Neodiprion lecontei: one gene and its partner. The protein of the gene in region 1 interacts with the protein of each later gene in a pairwise test. Links are inferred from orthologs where the notes say so. Each region holds a gene or a part of one and is shown on either strand. Other genes may lie near its edges.

Region 1 (3,890 bases):
CTATCGCTGTATGACGATGATGGGCTATTCTTGAATATGTAGGAAACTGATAAAATGAGAACTAAAAGCCAAGAGATCAGCAGCAAGACGCCTAATTTTCCGAGCCAGCCTGGTCTCCCCGACCACAGAACCACCATTGTGGTCGATTCAAATTTCTATTCCAATTCTACAATACTACCCGACATCTGTAAAGTAAAAAAAGTTCTCAAGTCAGAGAGCTAAGGGTCAAAACCCTAAGACTTTTATCAGATCATGATGAAATAGACGTCTAATTGATTTCAATATTACCATATCCTCATTATAGCTTTATTATCAACGTGATTCTCTAATAAGGAGGTAAATACATCACTTTTCTATATGCACTTAAGCGCAGAGAATGTGCGTACAAAACATAAGGTAACAATTAAGAAGCAGAGCAAGTGTGGATGTAGGTGACAAAAAAAAAAAAAAAAGGAAGTCTCCAATATTATAATCGATAGCTTTGAACAGCAGTTGTGAGCATAAAAACAGCGAATTTAATGCTTGCTGAGTATGATGATAAGACAGATTTGTAGAGCCGAAGGAGTAGATTAATTATTAGTTATAACATTTGTGTGATTGTTAATATTGTTATGATTATTAATATTGTAGTCCAAAAAATGCCATGGTTGACTATTGCTTATAGGAATGCCGACATTATATCAAAAATTCTAAAGAACCTCATGAAATTAGTACATACCACCTGCATTGTAACTATCGACAATTCAAATCTTATCGGTGTCGTAACGAGTGATAAGTTTACACATAATAAACTGATAAGGTGATTTATGAAGAGGGATGGAAAAACGATAGAAATAACTACCATTCATACATAGGTATGAATAAATACTTCCGTTCAGGTAGCGAGATGCGATTACCTTGAATATATTATCTGTGAATTATCCTGCTGAAAGACGCAGGCTACGTTCCAACCGCAAAGCCGGAAAAGCAAAGAGAGAATTGTATACTTGAATGTGTGTAATAAAACGGACGTTTTTACTCACGTCACTCACAGCCGCATATTCATCCGATCGTCCAATTTAACGGACGACAGTACGAGAGTAATTTTCGCAGCACAGGAAGCACCGAGCGCAAACGAATATCGGACGAAGGTTGTTTAAGCACTCAATCAGTCTATGTGTCTCTTGTAAACTGTCATGGACTGTCATTAAAGAATTAAGGTTAACAATTCTTTACCACGAACTACAAACATTAACTCTCGGATGCGACAGCGTAGCGCAGAATTGATATACGGAATTGGAACAGTAACTCGACCTGCGCGTCTGGCGGCGAAGATCACAATCACAAAAGGCGACGACGTATCAAAAGAACACTAATGACTTACCAGTAACTGTTTTTACTCTGATATTAAGCGTTCACAAACACCTGTAACACAGCGTAATTTCAACTTTCATTCTCCCCTTAATCCGAATAATCTTATCAGTAATCAAATACCAACTGATTTAAATGCTTCTGTTGAATCTGGCTTACGGTTTACAAGAGTTGGATAACTGAGGCTCCCAATGACGTCATAGCTGTGCTGCGCAGATATTATCGAGTCCGTCTTTGTCGTTTTCAAGTGTTCACAGTGGTTCATAGCGTAGCGAATATATCGAAGCTGCTGCAGCGTCGTCCGCCTGTTTACTTGCAGCTTCTTACCAACTTTACATGTACCACGGATGAGTGGTCGTGGTTTTGCTTCTGACAATTGAATTCTGATTTCTGCCTATTCACGCCGCGTCGCGTGTAAATAAATAATACAATTAATTGTGCAGAAATAATAATTTTTAATATACTGTAACAAGGATGAGTTCTATAGGAACAGGGGTACGTAAAACTATTAAAAATCGATTAAAAATCTATGTTCTTTCCTGATATTTGACCAGCCAATTGTGACGATTCTAACCTTAAAATTCACAGTACGATCTCTCGGCATCGCAGTTTTCTCCCGATGGTCGAGTTTTTCAAGTGGAATACGCACAAAAAGCGGTAGAAAATAGTGGGTATGTTGAAATTTCATCATCATAAATATAATTGACCGTATCAAGCATGTTTGTTGAAAATAAGAAGTGAATGAATGAATTAAAATAAGCATTTTAATGAAATTTTTTTCAGCACCGTCATTGGCCTCCGTGGTAAAGATGGGGTCGTATTTGCTGTTGAAAAACTCGTCACCTCTAAGCTCTATGAACCTGGCGCTAACAAGCGCCTTTTCAATATAGATAATCATGTCGGAATGGCAGTTTCTGGCCTGTCTTCCGATGCACGACAAATCGCTGAAACTGCACGCACGGAAGCAGCCAGCTACCGTGCTCAGTACGGCATAGGAATACCTCTGAAATATTTGAATGACCGTGTGTCAATGTACATGCACGCTTATACCTTATACTCAGCTGTACGGCCCTACGGCTGTTCGGTTATAATCGGAGCATATGAAGCTGATGGCCCAGTAATGTACATGATCGATCCATCCGGCGTTTCTTATGGCTATTACGGATGTGCTATTGGTAAGAATTTATGTTAGCAACATTCGTGTCAGGAGACAGTACGTATTGCGCTTCTTTTACATCTTGCAAATGAGTTTGAAAGTGTAAATAAGTTGCCAGTTTGACTGTTACTGACTAAGCTGAAAGATTTTTTCTTTTATTCCTTGACTTAAATCAATACGTTTGTCACTAATACACTACATCACTTCTTTTTTCTGTGCGTGTAATATATATACATTTTTTTTATATAACTTTGGAGCAAATTTCAGCAAAAAATATTAGATTTTGTGAGACTACGTAGTATTAACTTATTAGAGTTGAAACAATACAGTACTATCAAATTTTTGCAAGTTCAAACTCAACTAATGTCACAATATTGTAGAATTTTCAGTTACTTATTAAAATTTGCTAGTTTTTTTGATAAAGGTGACTATCGACGATCACATGATGATGTGCAATGTTGAAATGGCAGTAATTTTTGTATACAATTTTTTTTTTCACAGGTAAAGCAAAACAGTCTGCCAAAACAGAAATAGAAAAATTGAAACTTGCCGATATGTCCTGTAAGGATTTGATCAGAGAAGCAGCAAGGATAATTTACTTGCTGCACGACGAATTGAAAGACAAACAATTTGAGTTGGAAATGAGTTGGGTTGGAAATCACACAAACGGTAGACACGAACGTGTGCCATTCGAGATAAAGGCAGAGGCTGAAACGAAAGCACGGCAAGCGATGGACGAAGATTCTGATAGCGATACCGAAGACATGTGAAACGTGTAATGAATATTATTAAATATAATTAAGAAATAATATGTAATTTTCAAGAAACTATCACGAAGTATGTATAAATTACTGCGAAAAATACATTCTTTGTTTATAGATTTGAATTTCTTGATATTGAATAAAGGCTGGTGTGTTGAAAGCTTTTACCCGGTAAAAAATGAATACTTTTATATAACGTGATAAATCGTCCACGATGTTCGTTATCGTTGCAGAGGGATAAACCTTTGGGACAGAAGTAAAACTCGTTTGTTTTACGTAACTGTGATATCCGATTTTGTATTCTTTTTTTCACGCCACATGTGTTTCGATTTATTCTTTTAATTGGATGACACAAGATGAAATTACCTAAAAACATTTCGTACAGTTATATAACACACGGTATGTATTCCATGGGCTAAATCAAGGAAATAATCAATCGGCCGTAGCAATGTTTGTAAAAATTTCATTCGTTCGAGTTACGAATCGAACTATCCAACTTCTTGGAGCTGATCAAGCGGGGCCAATAAATTTATGAGCGACAAAAGTTATACTTTCACCAGGGAACATCGATACCAGCTGTGATGCATATTTTTCTTCAAATGCCTTCTTTTCGGTGAATAAAT
Region 2 (4,838 bases), on another chromosome or scaffold:
GACCTCGGAATTTGACAAGTACTCTGAGCGTTAATGGACGCGATGCTGTGCTCGTTAGGAGAACTGCTGAGTATGGACATTGTGTCGCTAAGTTGTTCGGGACTAGACTGCGTAGGCACAGCTTGGTAGTGGTGTTGTTGTATAAGCACACCCGTAGGTCCTGAGAAATATGACACGCGAAATTATTGCAAGAAAATACTTACGGAGTAAATGCAGTCGCGATACTCCACCTTTCGGAAAAATGTGAGTCCATCTTCGCCTGTTACTTGTCAACTTTATCGTTACGTGAGACGGGTCAAATGGATTGATCAGAGCTCTTCCTGGCCTAATGTTGTTGGGTTGAGTAACGGAATTGGTAGGACTTCCAGCACTACCGACGACTGGTCTGAACGGAGGTGATATCTCCACATCTCCATGGTCATCAATTAAAGATATTCTTGGTTTTGCTATGGAAAATTGTATCGATTTAGCTCTGTACTTGACATGTAACAACTATACCATCTTACAATTAACTTCTCCGTTAGAGTTGACACTTATCAAATCGTCCGCTCGATGAGGAATCGAAATTGCTGCACTGCGGGAGGCAACCGTTGGGGAAGAATGAGTATCGGGAGGTGGATGATGTATATCAGGATCCGACATCTTTCTTTTCAACAATTTAAGAGCCTGGGAATTGCTGTGCGTTTCCATGCAGGCTACACTAGTTTTCTTTGTTCTAGTCGATACTCTCTGCAAGCTAGATTACAAATTTATAAAAAATAACAAATCGAGTTTAATACAAAATACAAGTCTTCAAATTAATTTAAATTATTATAAACTAATTGTTAAAAAAATAGTTTCACCTAGCAGTATGAACAGGTGGTAACTGGAAAACCTGAGCATCGTAGGCATCATAGTCGAACAGTGTATTACGCAGACATTCGCTGCCATCTTCCTGCAGAAGCTTTGTCTTGTTTGGCAATTTTCCACACTCTGACGGTGGTTTTGATATTTTAGGTGGTAACTTGATGCGAGGTATGAAGGTTGAGTAAGGTATTTTTTTGTTTGTCGAATAGAAACTGAGATTTATCCAATGCGGCATGCTGTAGTCGTCTGCAGCATTTATCGACGTATCTTTGTTATGGAACTACAAGAATTTTGTCTTATAATAAAATATTCTTATGTGATAATAGAATTAACACAAGAACTCTGGTTTCAAGATTTCAACATAATGGAACAGTACCTTTAACAAAGGAACTGCGTGCAGCGGCTGTTCTCCCACGCAAACCAAGTCACTACCCACACCATTATCAATGATTCTTTGTTTAGTAACGTTGGTCAATTCTCTATCAACTTCGAATACTCCAACCCCCGGAGTGATAACCACAGAAAGCTGCCCGGTTCGATCAAAACTGCGATCCAGGTAGTGTTTTTCGAAAACTAAAAAAGAAAGCATATCACAATATCGTACATCACATTGCATAATAATTTCGTAATATAAACTTCTTGCGAAAGAAATAAATTGCTATTCAATTTCCACACATCTACAGGTTATTAGTCAATAGTATCAACTATCGCTCACCGTTCAAGGACATATTCAGAACTTCTAAGAAATTCCCTTGAGCAGCTGTTGAGTTTATGGCTTTTGGCATAACAATTCCAGGCCGTTGGTGATATTCGAGGACAATTTTTTGATAATCGGTAAACAGTTTTCGCAATTGAACTAATATATTGCTCCAGTCTTCGTATCTCTCATTTTGTACAGCAACTCTATAACACACGTTGGAGATGTTTAAGATTGAGCATTTTGTGGTGGATGCCATTGATATTTGCATTACCTATAAAAATCTTCGTAGAATCTACCCCGATAATCGTGCTGCAAGCACTCTCTCATGTGATTGGGAAATTCTTCAAGGCTTGTCGCGTTATAAAATGTTCGTGAGAATAAAACTATCGTCACTTCATGGTTGCTACCGTTTTTCTTCCACTTTTGAAAAAGATCAGCTAAAAACCCATTTACTGCTTTCTCAAAATACAAGTCTCCATGAATATCAAAGTCCCACATTTCGGAACTCATTTGGATAAACAGGTATACCATGCTTGTCGACGAACGGAAGACCACCTATTGTGAAGACAATGATTTAGAACATTGTTATCAATGTTAAAGCTATGTCGATTGATTCGTCGAATTCAAGTTTAATAGCTCGATTATTGCTATAAAATTAAGAGCTTTTTGATTGTATCCTTGGCCAGATTTAGCAAATTGTTACAGATATTTCACCTTTGTATCGTCAGTTATCACGCCACAGGCAACTCGATCCCCCTGGGACCACATTTCGTGTACTTGGCACCTAATGCTTCCTCCGCAGAATTCGATCTTCTTATTTAAATACACGCACGTGTTGACCTAGAGAAATTAAGATTTTAAATCAAAGTTCGATGAGATGGGAGTTTGTTTAGTGGGAAACTTTATCGATACACAATAAAAGAGTCAGACTTTTAATTACCAGACAATTTTTCAATCTCCACATCTCACTACGCCCCATATATTGGTCCTTGAAGGTAAGCTCGACAGAATCCAAGGCGACATCGTCGGGATTGACAATATTCATGTAAACATCAGCGAATGTTCTAAGTTGAAAAGTGGTCGCAATGTTATTTTCAACACTGACGGTTTCTCTGCCTTGTAGATCCTCCTTGAAGGCGGTGATCTGCAGAAGCAAACGACTGAATTCATCTTCCGGATGAAATATCTCAACGATATCGCCTTTCTTTATTCCCGGATAATCTTTGGGATTTATAATCAAATCCTCCCCACTAAAGTTCTTCTGATGAACGATCAACTTGAACAGCTTCATTTTAAGCTGCTGATCATCAACAACGATGGTTTAATTTATCACTGGGTTAAGAGGTCACCTGACCTCCGCAGGCTCATCGACAGCTATGTTCGAGGGGGATATATTTTCAGCCTGCATTATTTATCCATTGATCCATTGTCTTCCAAGATGAGTGTCGAAACCGGCGATTAGCAATCACAGAGTCCAGAACTGAGAAACAATATTAAACTAAACGAACTACTGTTAACTAAGCATTGTCTCGCGGCTCACTTCGCGACCTCCACGTTCATCTTGGACGACACACAGCGCACTTTACGTGTCAAAACAATCGACACACGCTCCCGACTGAACGATTGACGACGACGCTTGCGTAAATATCTCTGTTGCTCTCTACGATTCACGAATCCGGTCACGTGTCGCAATTCGCAATCTGCATATTAACCACGATACTAACCTGTTTTCAAAGCAAAACACATACGCTCCTTTAATTTTTATGGTGTGGTGTGTGGCGGCACGCATGTTGCTACAAGAGCTCCAGCTTAACCTCAAAACCGGCGTTTTGCATATCACGGGCAAAAACAATTGAGTTACGATTGCGTCATTCAAAAAACAAGTGCCGGATATATTACGGACTGAAGTTGCTCTTTCAAATAATTTCAATGCTGATTGTAACACCGGTCAGCTAATTATTAGAATCAACGCTGAAAGTGTAGCGGTAGAAAAGAAGAAAGACACACACACATGTTATGAAAATGGCATTTACGTTTACAACAATGCAAAGCACCATGAGGTGTCTTCAAAGTACAATAACTCAGCGGCAGATTAGCGCTCAAGTGTTTTTACGAGTCAAAGGCTACAGTCGGTGGACTCATCGCAAGCCATCAAAAATTGTTAACGAGAAAGATCTGTACAACGATCAGGAGCACACCGTTCCTCAAAATATTCTGCAGACCGCCCAGTTTGCATTTGCCCGACGACAACGGCTCAAGCTGGCCGAAGACAAGAAAGAAAACGCAAAGATTCAAGAAGAGCAGAGGGAAGGTGCCACGTTGAACAATGACGGGACTCCGATTTTCACTAAACTCGACAGGGACGATCCCATAATAAGGTACGCATTGCGGATCAACTGGACTTGATCTCGTTTTAGACATAACTTTTTATCTTCTAGCCTTTGTTTGTGATTCACAATTTACTCGCCGTTACAGCTCTTTAATGCAAGTCGTAAGATCGCGTAAAAAAGATAAGGATGACAACAGAATTCTGCTGGAGGGATTTAGATTGATCGAGGATGCCATAAAAGCCGGATGTATGCCTGAGATAATTATCTTCAGCAGAAAATCTGACATTGCCAAAATATCTCTACCCAAAGATGGTGTCAAGCTTTACAAACTTCCATATCAAACGATACAGCTATGGTCAGATTTGACTGTTTCCCCAGGCATTATGGGTAAGTTGCCAATACTTCCATTTTGTTTTCATCTGGCTAACGCTCGACTAACAATCTGGGATTCTCGTTTAGGTATATTCGTAGCTCCCGATGTAAGTAACAAGGAACCTTCTCCCGATGCGTTACCAATAACTGTGATATGCGACAATGTAAGAGAGCCCGGAAACTTGGGAGCTATTCTTCGGGTTGCGGCTGGAGTCGGATGCGAGAGAGTAATTTTAACCAAAGGTCCGTACCCGAAGAAATGAACTTGATTGTTTCGTTCCAATCTACAATCGAAGCTGTGCTCAAATTCACTTTATGTTTAAACCTGTTAATTTTAGGCTGCGTGGATCTTTGGAATCCGAAAGTGCTGAGATCAGCTGCAGGTGCGCACTTTCGCGTGCCGATATACAAATCACAAACGTGGTCAGAAGTGCAGTATTTAATAAGCGAAAATGCGAATATTTTCGTTGCTGACAACAATTCGGAATCACCGGTAGAGTCCAATGTGGATCTCGGTACTTCAAGCTCTGATTCTAGCTCAAGTTCGGACTCCGACAGTAGCGACTCCGAGGCTGAGACTGACGCAGGAT

What was found. The genes of interacting proteins can lie anywhere in the genome.
Region 2: the proteins of proteasome subunit alpha type-3 (region 1) and GATOR complex protein Iml1 interact in a two-hybrid assay, tested with the Caenorhabditis elegans proteins (2 studies listed by BioGRID). The link is inferred for Neodiprion lecontei from reciprocal best matches to the Caenorhabditis elegans genes pas-7 and depd-5.

Annotation. Positions count from the first base shown.
Region 1 is NC_060265.1:20,677,046-20,680,935, reverse strand, and holds proteasome subunit alpha type-3, read left to right. Parts: upstream 1-1,663; 5' UTR 1,664-1,824; coding exon 1,825-1,845; intron 1,846-1,938; coding exon 1,939-2,021; intron 2,022-2,133; coding exon 2,134-2,525; intron 2,526-3,007; coding exon 3,008-3,276; 3' UTR 3,277-3,386; downstream 3,387-3,890. Other genes in the region: alpha-(1,6)-fucosyltransferase, read right to left, coding at 1-137.
Region 2 is NC_060263.1:5,519,197-5,524,034, forward strand, and holds the start of GATOR complex protein Iml1, read right to left. Parts: upstream 3,140-4,838; 5' UTR 2,838-3,139; coding exon 2,487-2,837; intron 2,387-2,486; coding exon 2,261-2,386; intron 2,102-2,260; coding exon 1,818-2,101; intron 1,750-1,817; coding exon 1,562-1,749; intron 1,420-1,561; coding exon 1,223-1,419; intron 1,127-1,222; coding exon 843-1,126; intron 737-842; coding exon 507-736; intron 447-506; coding exon 231-446; intron 161-230; coding exon 1-160. Other genes in the region: rRNA methyltransferase 3, mitochondrial, read left to right, coding at 3,563-3,924, 4,022-4,263, 4,336-4,491, 4,587-4,838.